2 linked regions of the Arabidopsis thaliana genome follow. The protein of the gene in region 1 interacts with the protein of each later gene in a pairwise test. Each region holds a gene or a part of one and is shown on either strand. Other genes may lie near its edges.

Evidence for each region. The genes of interacting proteins can lie anywhere in the genome.
Region 2: the proteins of WRKY54 (region 1) and AT2G33350 interact in a two-hybrid assay, tested with the Arabidopsis thaliana proteins (one large-scale study listed by BioGRID).

Annotation. Positions count from the first base shown.
Region 1 is NC_003071.7:16,999,876-17,004,506, forward strand, and holds WRKY54 (WRKY DNA-binding protein 54), read right to left. Parts: upstream 2,654-4,631; 5' UTR 2,480-2,653; coding exon 2,067-2,479; intron 1,579-2,066; coding exon 1,477-1,578; intron 1,287-1,476; coding exon 761-1,286; 3' UTR 544-760; downstream 1-543. UniProt on the Arabidopsis thaliana protein: Transcription factor. Interacts specifically with the W box (5'-(T)TGAC[CT]-3'), a frequently occurring elicitor-responsive cis-acting element.
Region 2 is NC_003071.7:14,133,216-14,137,684, forward strand, and holds AT2G33350 (CCT motif family protein), read left to right. Parts: upstream 1-1,926; 5' UTR 1,927-1,987; coding exon 1,988-2,062; intron 2,063-2,149; coding exon 2,150-2,896; intron 2,897-3,032; coding exon of another isoform or gene 3,033-3,035; coding exon 3,036-3,233; coding exon of another isoform or gene 3,234-3,275; exon of another isoform or gene 3,276-3,309; coding exon 3,310-3,438; intron 3,439-3,513; coding exon 3,514-3,621; 3' UTR 3,622-3,946; downstream 3,947-4,469.

The DNA of each region.
Region 1 (4,631 bases):
TCTCATGAATCCAAATTTGCTTGCCTTTTTGTTCATCTTTTGTGTTTGTTATGTCGACAGAGAAAACACTTTATTCTCTCAATTATTTTCATAGCAGTACACTGTAACATATATAAAAGTCATCAATATTTAGACATCTATTAAAAATGATTTCATGGAGTTATATTTGATTTTTCAAATTACAGGGGTGAATTAAATTTAGTTTGTATAAGAAAAAGTACTTGTACCGAACCGAACATTATAGCTTAATTTATTTTGTTTTATTGTTGTAACAAGCATTAATCAATGCCCTAGTGTACACGGTGATGCTTATGTAAAGGTAACATGCCAACAACAACAAAAAGACAAGCACGACAGTTCCAAAATGCATTTGTCCCAACTTTTTCCTTTTTAGCAGCAAACATTCATAGCCGCAATTTGAATGGATAAGTCTCTTTACACTCTTTAGGTAATCATATTCATCTATCATAATTATAGAATCCAAAATTAAAAGCACTAATAATAACCATAAAGACAAATGAACTTGCGCAGTTATGGAGGTTGGTTTATTCTAAGTTTAATTGGTAATCCATTAAAGTTTTGCCATCTTTAGTGTCATGATGTATCCAAAATAAACTTGTGGAAGAAAAAAACATGTGAATGGTGTAAAAAGAGAAGTATATATGGTGTTTTTATCAAACATACAACAAAAATATTACATTAAACTAGACATACTCAAAGAGAAGACCTAGTGCTGATTCATCATTCCAGATTTGGATGTTCACATAGCACTTGTTCTTTCATAATCAGCACAATATGAGTCGAAGAAGGAGGAAAACTGATCATCGTTGTCGATGAAACCAAATTGATGAGAAGTAGTACTGGTTTCACCACAATAGTAGTGATTTTGATGATCATCAAACATCATCGTCTCTTGCCAAACCAATGACAAGTCCTCACCTGTCGAAGAGCCCTCATAATAATCTTTACTCTGATCACCATTGTTATTTTGTTCCTCCTTAACCATGCCTGCGTCTATTGCTGTCACACTGCTGGTGTTGTTCTCTTGCTCTTGCACCATAGCATTGACATGGTTCTGAGCAGTGCTAGCAGCCAATGTCTTTTCCGAATCCATAATGATTTCTTGATCAAAAGGCTCGGTCTTCGCGTGCGTTTGGTCATTGGCAGTGCATGTGTGGTAGCCAATGTATGTGATTTGGAACATCTCAGAATCTTGATCCTGTTTCTGAACTTGCTTTGTTGCTTTGCATCCTTGCGTTGGCTTGTGTGTGCATCTAAAGTAACTTCTGCAAAACATTAAAACGCATATTGATTTTAGGCCATTGCAAACTTCACATAGTGACTTGAAATATAACATATGTTTCGGCTAGAGATCCCTGGTATAAAAATGAGTTGCCCATGTTTATATGTATTATATATGTATTGTGAGTATATAGATACATAAATAGACATATAAGGAGTTAGGTAATTAAGGACCTTGGGAATGTGGTATTAAGAATCTCCTTTTGTCCATATTTCCTCCAAGCATATCTGTCTTCAGAACTTTTAGCTTCCACGATCCTTGTATGTGATCTCGTCCTGCAAATGATAAATCACAAATTTGTTAATAAATGACTAAACCATTTTTGCCTTTTTATGTTCATTTCAAACAAATCCACGGTACATTCAGTCTTGTTTGTACCAAACTAATCGCAATTATACACTAATAGAAAGTAAAACAAAATTCGGTAAAGTTATGTATGGTATAGTCAGCATTGATTGGCCCTATCCAATCAATCGTATTCATACGATTCCTATCACTACCATTCACACAAACAGTGATTGTATTTTTAGTATATATTAAGCACTAGACATTATGAACAAATTCATATCCTTTTAACCTTTACGATTAGTCATTTCTATATGGGGCACTACCACTATATGATGGTATCCATAGACAAAAATAGCAAATTGTAATGAAAAAAGTTCGAATAAAATCCACATAAAAAGGAGATTATATCATTAAACACGAATAAAAATATAACATAATAAATTGATATTTGAATTCAACTTTTTTTGTCACTTACTTTCTAGTGTAGCATCCTCTTTTACCCTTACCAACCCCTAATCTCTTCTTCTTACTCTCACCGGAATCTCCACCGTTGCAACTCACCGGAGTCGCCGAATCATCCCCACATGAAGCATTCCATGAACCCTCGACGGCGATGGGGACAGAGACGGCGACGGGATCAAAAGAATCAAGAACCGATATAGTTTTATGGAAAGATCCCAAGATCTTAGACATGAGCTCATCAACGGGATCTGGACCACCGGAAACTGAACCCGACCCGGAAACAAGACGGGTCTCATCGATGTGGTACTGGTTAGAGTGTTGATGAGAAAGGAGAAGCTGAAGCTGAGTAGCGAATTCATAGCCTTCGACAAGTTGGTCGACAACTTTTCTCTTTATGGATTTCGTGTTGTTACTATTCGAATCCATTTTTTTCTCACAAAGATACAATGAATATGTAACTTTTTTTAGGTTTTTAGTATGATGATTTGAGAATGAAGAAATGTTGTAATATAGTGGAAAGAGAAGAAAATAGATTTTTTCTCTTGATCAGAAAAAAATCAAAGGAAGATGCTTAGGAAAGAGAGAGAGATGCTTATGCATTATAATGAACATGAAAGGGTATAAAGGGAAAGTAACCAACGTAGTTATGAATTTAGTCATGGATTTGAGGTTATAATTGGAAAGTTATAACTTATCTATTCACCCATTGGCTTGCAAGAGCTTTGCTTATGTCACATTGATGATGTGGAATGACATCACCCATCTCCGTAACACGTTTGATGGCTTGGTGGGTATTTTTTTTCTCCTTTCTTCGCGGATTTATTTAATTAATTAATGCTCATGAAAACGATCCAACAACTTGGTTAGATTTTTAAATGTTTTTTGCGAAAAATTATTTTGTTTTTATCTTGGAGAAAGAGTTATATAACTAATATTTTATGACATTCAAATTATTTTTCAGTACCACGAAATTCACTTTCAAGGGAAAGAACCAAAATAAGGAGAACTGTTTTTTTTTTTTGATAATTAAAGAGGATAAATGTTGACAAGATATATTCTATATCAGACCAACCACTAATATATTTTAAGAGTAATTGGGTCAAATAGTCTTAAGACAGAATAATATTTAGAGTTTTATCAATCTCGTAATTTTATTTTGAAGATATAAATGTATATGTTTTGCTATATAGTAGTATTTTTCCTAAGAAGAAACTATTTATACGTGTGTATTCTCGTGCATTTACGGAAGCAGAAGGATCCTAATGAATATTCTCATTGATGAATTTTGTCATGGATAGACTAGCTACTAAAACTAAAAGCTATAAGCATATATATATATATATATATATATATATATATATAGATAATCGTGGTGAGACCGCTTAGTTCGGATCTAAAACTAGTAATCAAGATTAATCTCATTATACTAAGCCAACGTTATTTAATTTTATCTTTATGTTTTGTAGAACTGCCATTAAAAACGCCGGAAAAGTACTTAAGTAGATAATCAATGTTTTGGATCATTTGGTAAAAGAACCAATACAATCACAAGTCACAACTCTAGGTTATGTCAGCCTATTGCTTGCTTGGCCCTGATCACTTTGGCAGTACTGATTTTATTAAAAATCTATGAATTTTGAACTGAACAAAAATATTAAAATTTGTTGAAACTGTCACTACTTTAATTAATACTCGTGTAACTATTGAAATATTTGTGTGAGTCATCTCATTTAATACCAAAAATAAATTAAAACCTATGATCGTAAGAAATGACTCATTTTGAATTTTTGATCCGTTGAATGAAAAATATCTTCGTTTCATTAAAATGAGTAATTTTGAGTTGGTTAATTATTATTTTTATTTCTGTGACGCATAAAACAATACATCTTTTTTCCTACCAAAAAAAACAATATTTTTTAAAAAAGTAACATTTGTTTAGTATTGGGATATTGTGACGGCAATGAGGGGGCAGGTGCCACTGAGTACTCCTCGGAGTCACAATAATTTCAGTCCACATTGTACATCCACTCGCAAATAAATAAAAAAAATCCATAAGAGTCAAATCCATTTGTTTGCTTATTAATTCTCTAGAAATTACAGATTATATTACGCTTACTTTTTCAACTATAAACAAAAACAAAACGGCTTTACTAGTTTTAATTTATCATACAACTTAACGAAACAGATTATACCAACAATAATAATGAACGGTGAGTAGTATAATGGTAGAACGATGAAATATTTATGAAATATAATTTGTGTACGAACTAATTAACGATATTTTTGTTGTTGTAGTAGTTGACTTCGATCGTAAAAAGATGAATGTGTTATTTCTCGGTTTGAACCAATAAATATGTCCAAACAGCTTTGTTTTACTTCTTCGTTTACTCATCCAAATTCGGCATTTATCTATAAATCCCAACTGATTAATCATTTAGAGATTGTCAAAATATGGACACTAGTTATATTCAAATGTTAAATTATTGCTTTCTTTCGGAGATGATGAGAGAAAGGTCAACGATGATTGGGGAACTGCTATTGACAAATGACAAATGGTTATTAGAATAATAACAATGTT
Region 2 (4,469 bases), 2.9 Mb from region 1:
TTTTATCTGATATCCCTAAATATTTTCTTAAGGCAAATAATATGCTTATTGTCCAAAGACATTTTGTCCAGTAGCATTTTACTTTAGATATCTTCTATTTTCTAATACTTTACTGACCTGGTCGAAATCTTTTTCTCTCCTTTGCGGGAAATCATGAGCCAAGTCAATAAAATTAGCAAACGAGATAAAAGATAGAAAAATGCATATCTAAATTAAAAACATAGAAACTAATTCCACGAATATAGGGCTTAATTTAGGACGATTTTCAGTCAAAAACGTCAAAATCCACGGAACAAGAATTGGGTCAAACTCATTGACCGGTCTAAATAGTTTCCTCCTACGTGAGATCCTTTACCCACGTCAACACCATTATATCTACGTGGGCTTTCCACGTCATGTGAAGAGGAGAATCGAGGGTATCACATTTTTGCATCAAGTCCACGCTGGAATATATTATAAAAATTATGTGAAAATAATTTGTACATACACTGAAACACACATGCATTAGTTTAGTATATACAAATATATACATACACATAAAACCAAAAGTATATATATATATGTATGATTGTTACGTGAAACTCCCATAACCTCTTTTTTTCCAGAAAACTATAAGAATTTGAATTTCTTCTCTGTCCAAACAGAAGAACCTTTGTTCTGTTTTTAATTCAATTACCTCTTTGTTTTTTCAGTTTTTGTTGTTTTTTCCTCCCAATATTTGAATTTCTTCCATGGATTTTCTTGTTCATCATACATCACTCATTCCAATATTATTCCACAAATCATCCTTGAAGCCTCGTTCATTAATTTTCTTGCTATAATTCATATTTTCTCGGGAATTTTCTTTATTTTCCCAGAAAGTTTTCGCATTAACATTGGAGATATACAAAGAACACAAACATGTTGCAAGACATGATCTCGTCTCACTCTCACGATCAGCTTTCCATCGTAATTCTCTTCTCATTATTGCTTTCATTTTTATTCATGCAATGCGTAGATGTTTTTGTCTTTGAAATTTTGCTTACATGTATAGATCATATAAACTCGAGTCTAATCTTATAAACTGATTAATTTTTATTCCGTAGTCTTTTATTCGGCAACTACCCTATAATTTCAGCTAGTTTTTCTTTTTTGGTGTAACGTCATTTTCTTCTACTTATATTCCATTTGATCTTCTTATAAATTGCTTCATTCTTTTCGCTTTTCTTTCTTTGTTATTCTCTCCGCACTTCAATTTGTCCTTCCATGCGATTTTTTTTTGAACAATCATTATCATAATTCTCATTGGCATACGATTATTACTTATAAACCAATAGAAAATCGTCACATGATATGGAACAATATTGTTCTACAAAATAACTGTAACCATAATTCACTATATCTATCGTATTTTAGTATAGATTTTTATTCTCATCAAACGAAAAATGCTAGATTTAATCTCTCACCTTGGATTTTATGCAAAATCTACATATTACGTGAATTTCACTAGGAGCATTGTTTGTTATCATGATGGGTTTGTATATGATCATGATCATAATGGGTTTCACACATGTTCTGATATTTTATGAAGTGCCCTTTACTTTTTCTTTGTGGGAAAAAAATCTGGATGTTGGTTCATACCAGGCAATTTTAAATTATTTTGTCAATACGAAAAGGAAATACCAGAATCAGAAAACTTTCCGTTTATAGAAACTCCACTCTTCTTTACTTTATCTTTTTAGCTATTGGAAGTAATTGGAACACTTCTTCTTAACATGTCACATAAAAGAACAGATGCATTTAATCTCTCTTGTGTTGTCCTCAACAAATATTGATAACAAACAAACATTGGATTTGATCAAGACACCAAAATCTTTGGAGTGTTTGGATGTCGAAAAACAGAATCAAAACATCTTACAGATTCTTAACATAGTTAAGCCAGAACAAAATTACTTAAGTATAAATAAATTTCTCTTAAGATTTAAGAACTAATATCTTGTAGCTTCTTATGATTTCACCAGTTCTAATTTCTTGTGACTCAAGCCAAAACCTTTGTTACCTTTTTTTGATGCTTGGCTTTAACGTAATCTCTTCAAAAGATCTTGGTTCATTTACTTTCCATGCTCGATCTAATCTTTGAAACTAACTATTGTTTTTATTATCTTAACAGGATGATATCACGAGCCCTCTTAGTGCTCAGATCTTCGATTTCTGCGATCCACAACTCTTTCAAGAAACCTTTAATCAATCCTCTGAAGTCACCTCTACTTCAAACATTCTTGAGAAATCCGGAAGCTTCCATTCCAACACTAACACCACCACAACAACTGAGAACAGTAACAACAACAACAACAACAAGAACACAAACCTTCAAGACGATGAAGATGACAACAACAACACGGATCTGTCCATAATCTTTGATTCACAAGAAGATTTCGAAAACGATATAACGGCTTCAATCGATTTCTCATCATCTTCACTGCAATATCCAGTCATCGATCATCTCCTCACGGCAATAAGCCAAGACCAGTTTGATTTCTCATCAGGTCTCCAAGTTATTCATCAGCCTCCTAACATTTCATACTCTGGAGATCCTCTGTCTCTATCGGCGATTTCCTCTCTAGCTCCTCCTCCCTTACAATCAGGGGTTTTCGAAGAAGATTGTCTTTCTTCAGTCCCAAGTTACAATCTTGGTTTGAACCCTTCTTGCTCTTTCTTCCGTTCGTCCGGTTTACCGGCGTATATGAGTACCGGTTTATTATCTGCTGAAAGTAATCTCGGTTATCTTCCCGGGAATATTCATGTGGGATCAGAAATCAATAAGCCACATGATCCACTGATGGACTTTCAAGCTGATAATGGTGGTTTTTTTTGTCCGGATTCCATCAAACGTATGTTTAATCCAGAAGATCTCCAGGTAATTGAGTTTTTGTTACAAATATTTTCCGGTTAACGTTTGGTTATCTTTAAGAACCGGTATGGAGCTAAGATTTCCGGTCACAAGACCGGGTTGGTATTCTGATGTGATGCTAACCGGTTTAATTTTGTTGAAGAAGGCACTTGGTGGTGGCGCCGAGAACCAGAGCCACTTGGTGACACCTCAAGCTCATCCAGCATTAGGACCGGTCGATATAAACGGTTTAGAAGACTCAACGTTGAACAAAGTTGGAAAACTCTCCCCTGAGCAAAGGAAAGAGAAGATTCGTAGGTACATGAAGAAGAGGAACGAAAGGAATTTCAACAAGAAAATCAAGGTTCGGTTTTTATTAAACCAAACCGGACTTAACCGTTGTTAAATGTTGTCCCAATGATTTTTTTGGGGGGTTGTAGTATGCGTGTAGGAAAACATTGGCAGATAGTCGACCAAGAGTTAGAGGAAGATTTGCAAAGAATGATGAATTTGGTGAGCCAAATAGACAAGCTTTTTCAAGCCATCATGATGATGAAGATGAAGACGATGTAAGAAAACCGGGTTATTTTAACTCGATTTATATGAATTTATGTGAAAACTAACTAAGCCGATTGGGTTTACAGATGGGAGTGAAGGATGAGGAACAATTGGTAGATTCTTCAGACATTTTTGCACACATTAGTGGAGCAAATTCCTTCAAGTGCAACTACCCAATCCAATCTTGGATTTGAGTTCCAAGTGCAACACCACATATACCTCATGTTTTAACATGAATCTTATAATAGTTACACAAATAGTATTGCTATAGAGTTATGACTTGTATACTTAGTTTTGTCATGCCCCCAACAAGTTCTGTGACTTCTGTCAAAAAAATAAATAATCTAACTCGTATTGAAAATAAATAATGAATAATGGGTTTAGGCAGGTTTGGATGAATAAATCAGTAGTGAGAATAAGGTTGTAATTATGTTACCTAGCAATTTGGAAATTTTGTAGATACTATGATATGTGATGTCTTGTATTTGATAAGTTGAGTTGAATTTTTTATCACCTGAACACTCTATATATATAATCGTCATATGAGTTATTATTTTGCTTCTCAAATCATTCAGATGTTCTATGCATACAAAATGAATAGACCGGTCAAATTGTCATGTCTAACACCTGGTTAGAAGATCTAATTAGTAATTAGATAATAACTATTTGATCCAAAAAAAAGGATAGTAGTAACTATTTTTAAGAAAAAGATGAAATAATTGGGCTTTAATTTGTTAGTATCAAAATGTTGGACTGGGCCAACAGAGTGTTACAGATCAATTATATAATTAAGGCCTCCCTTGTAGGCTACCATTTAAGATTAATGTAAAGCTTAAACGATTGACAACTTGATGCATGCGCAATAAATGATGATCGTACCATAATTTCATGGCCATATATAGTTGCTAAACTGAAAGAAGAACAAAAAGGTTTGTAGTAACTTTGTAATGAAATAATTCGATATTTTATTATGTTGAATAGTTCTTTTTGTTCGTTTCTGAAAAGTGAAAACCCATTTGCTAATTTTTTTTAACTTCTAAGT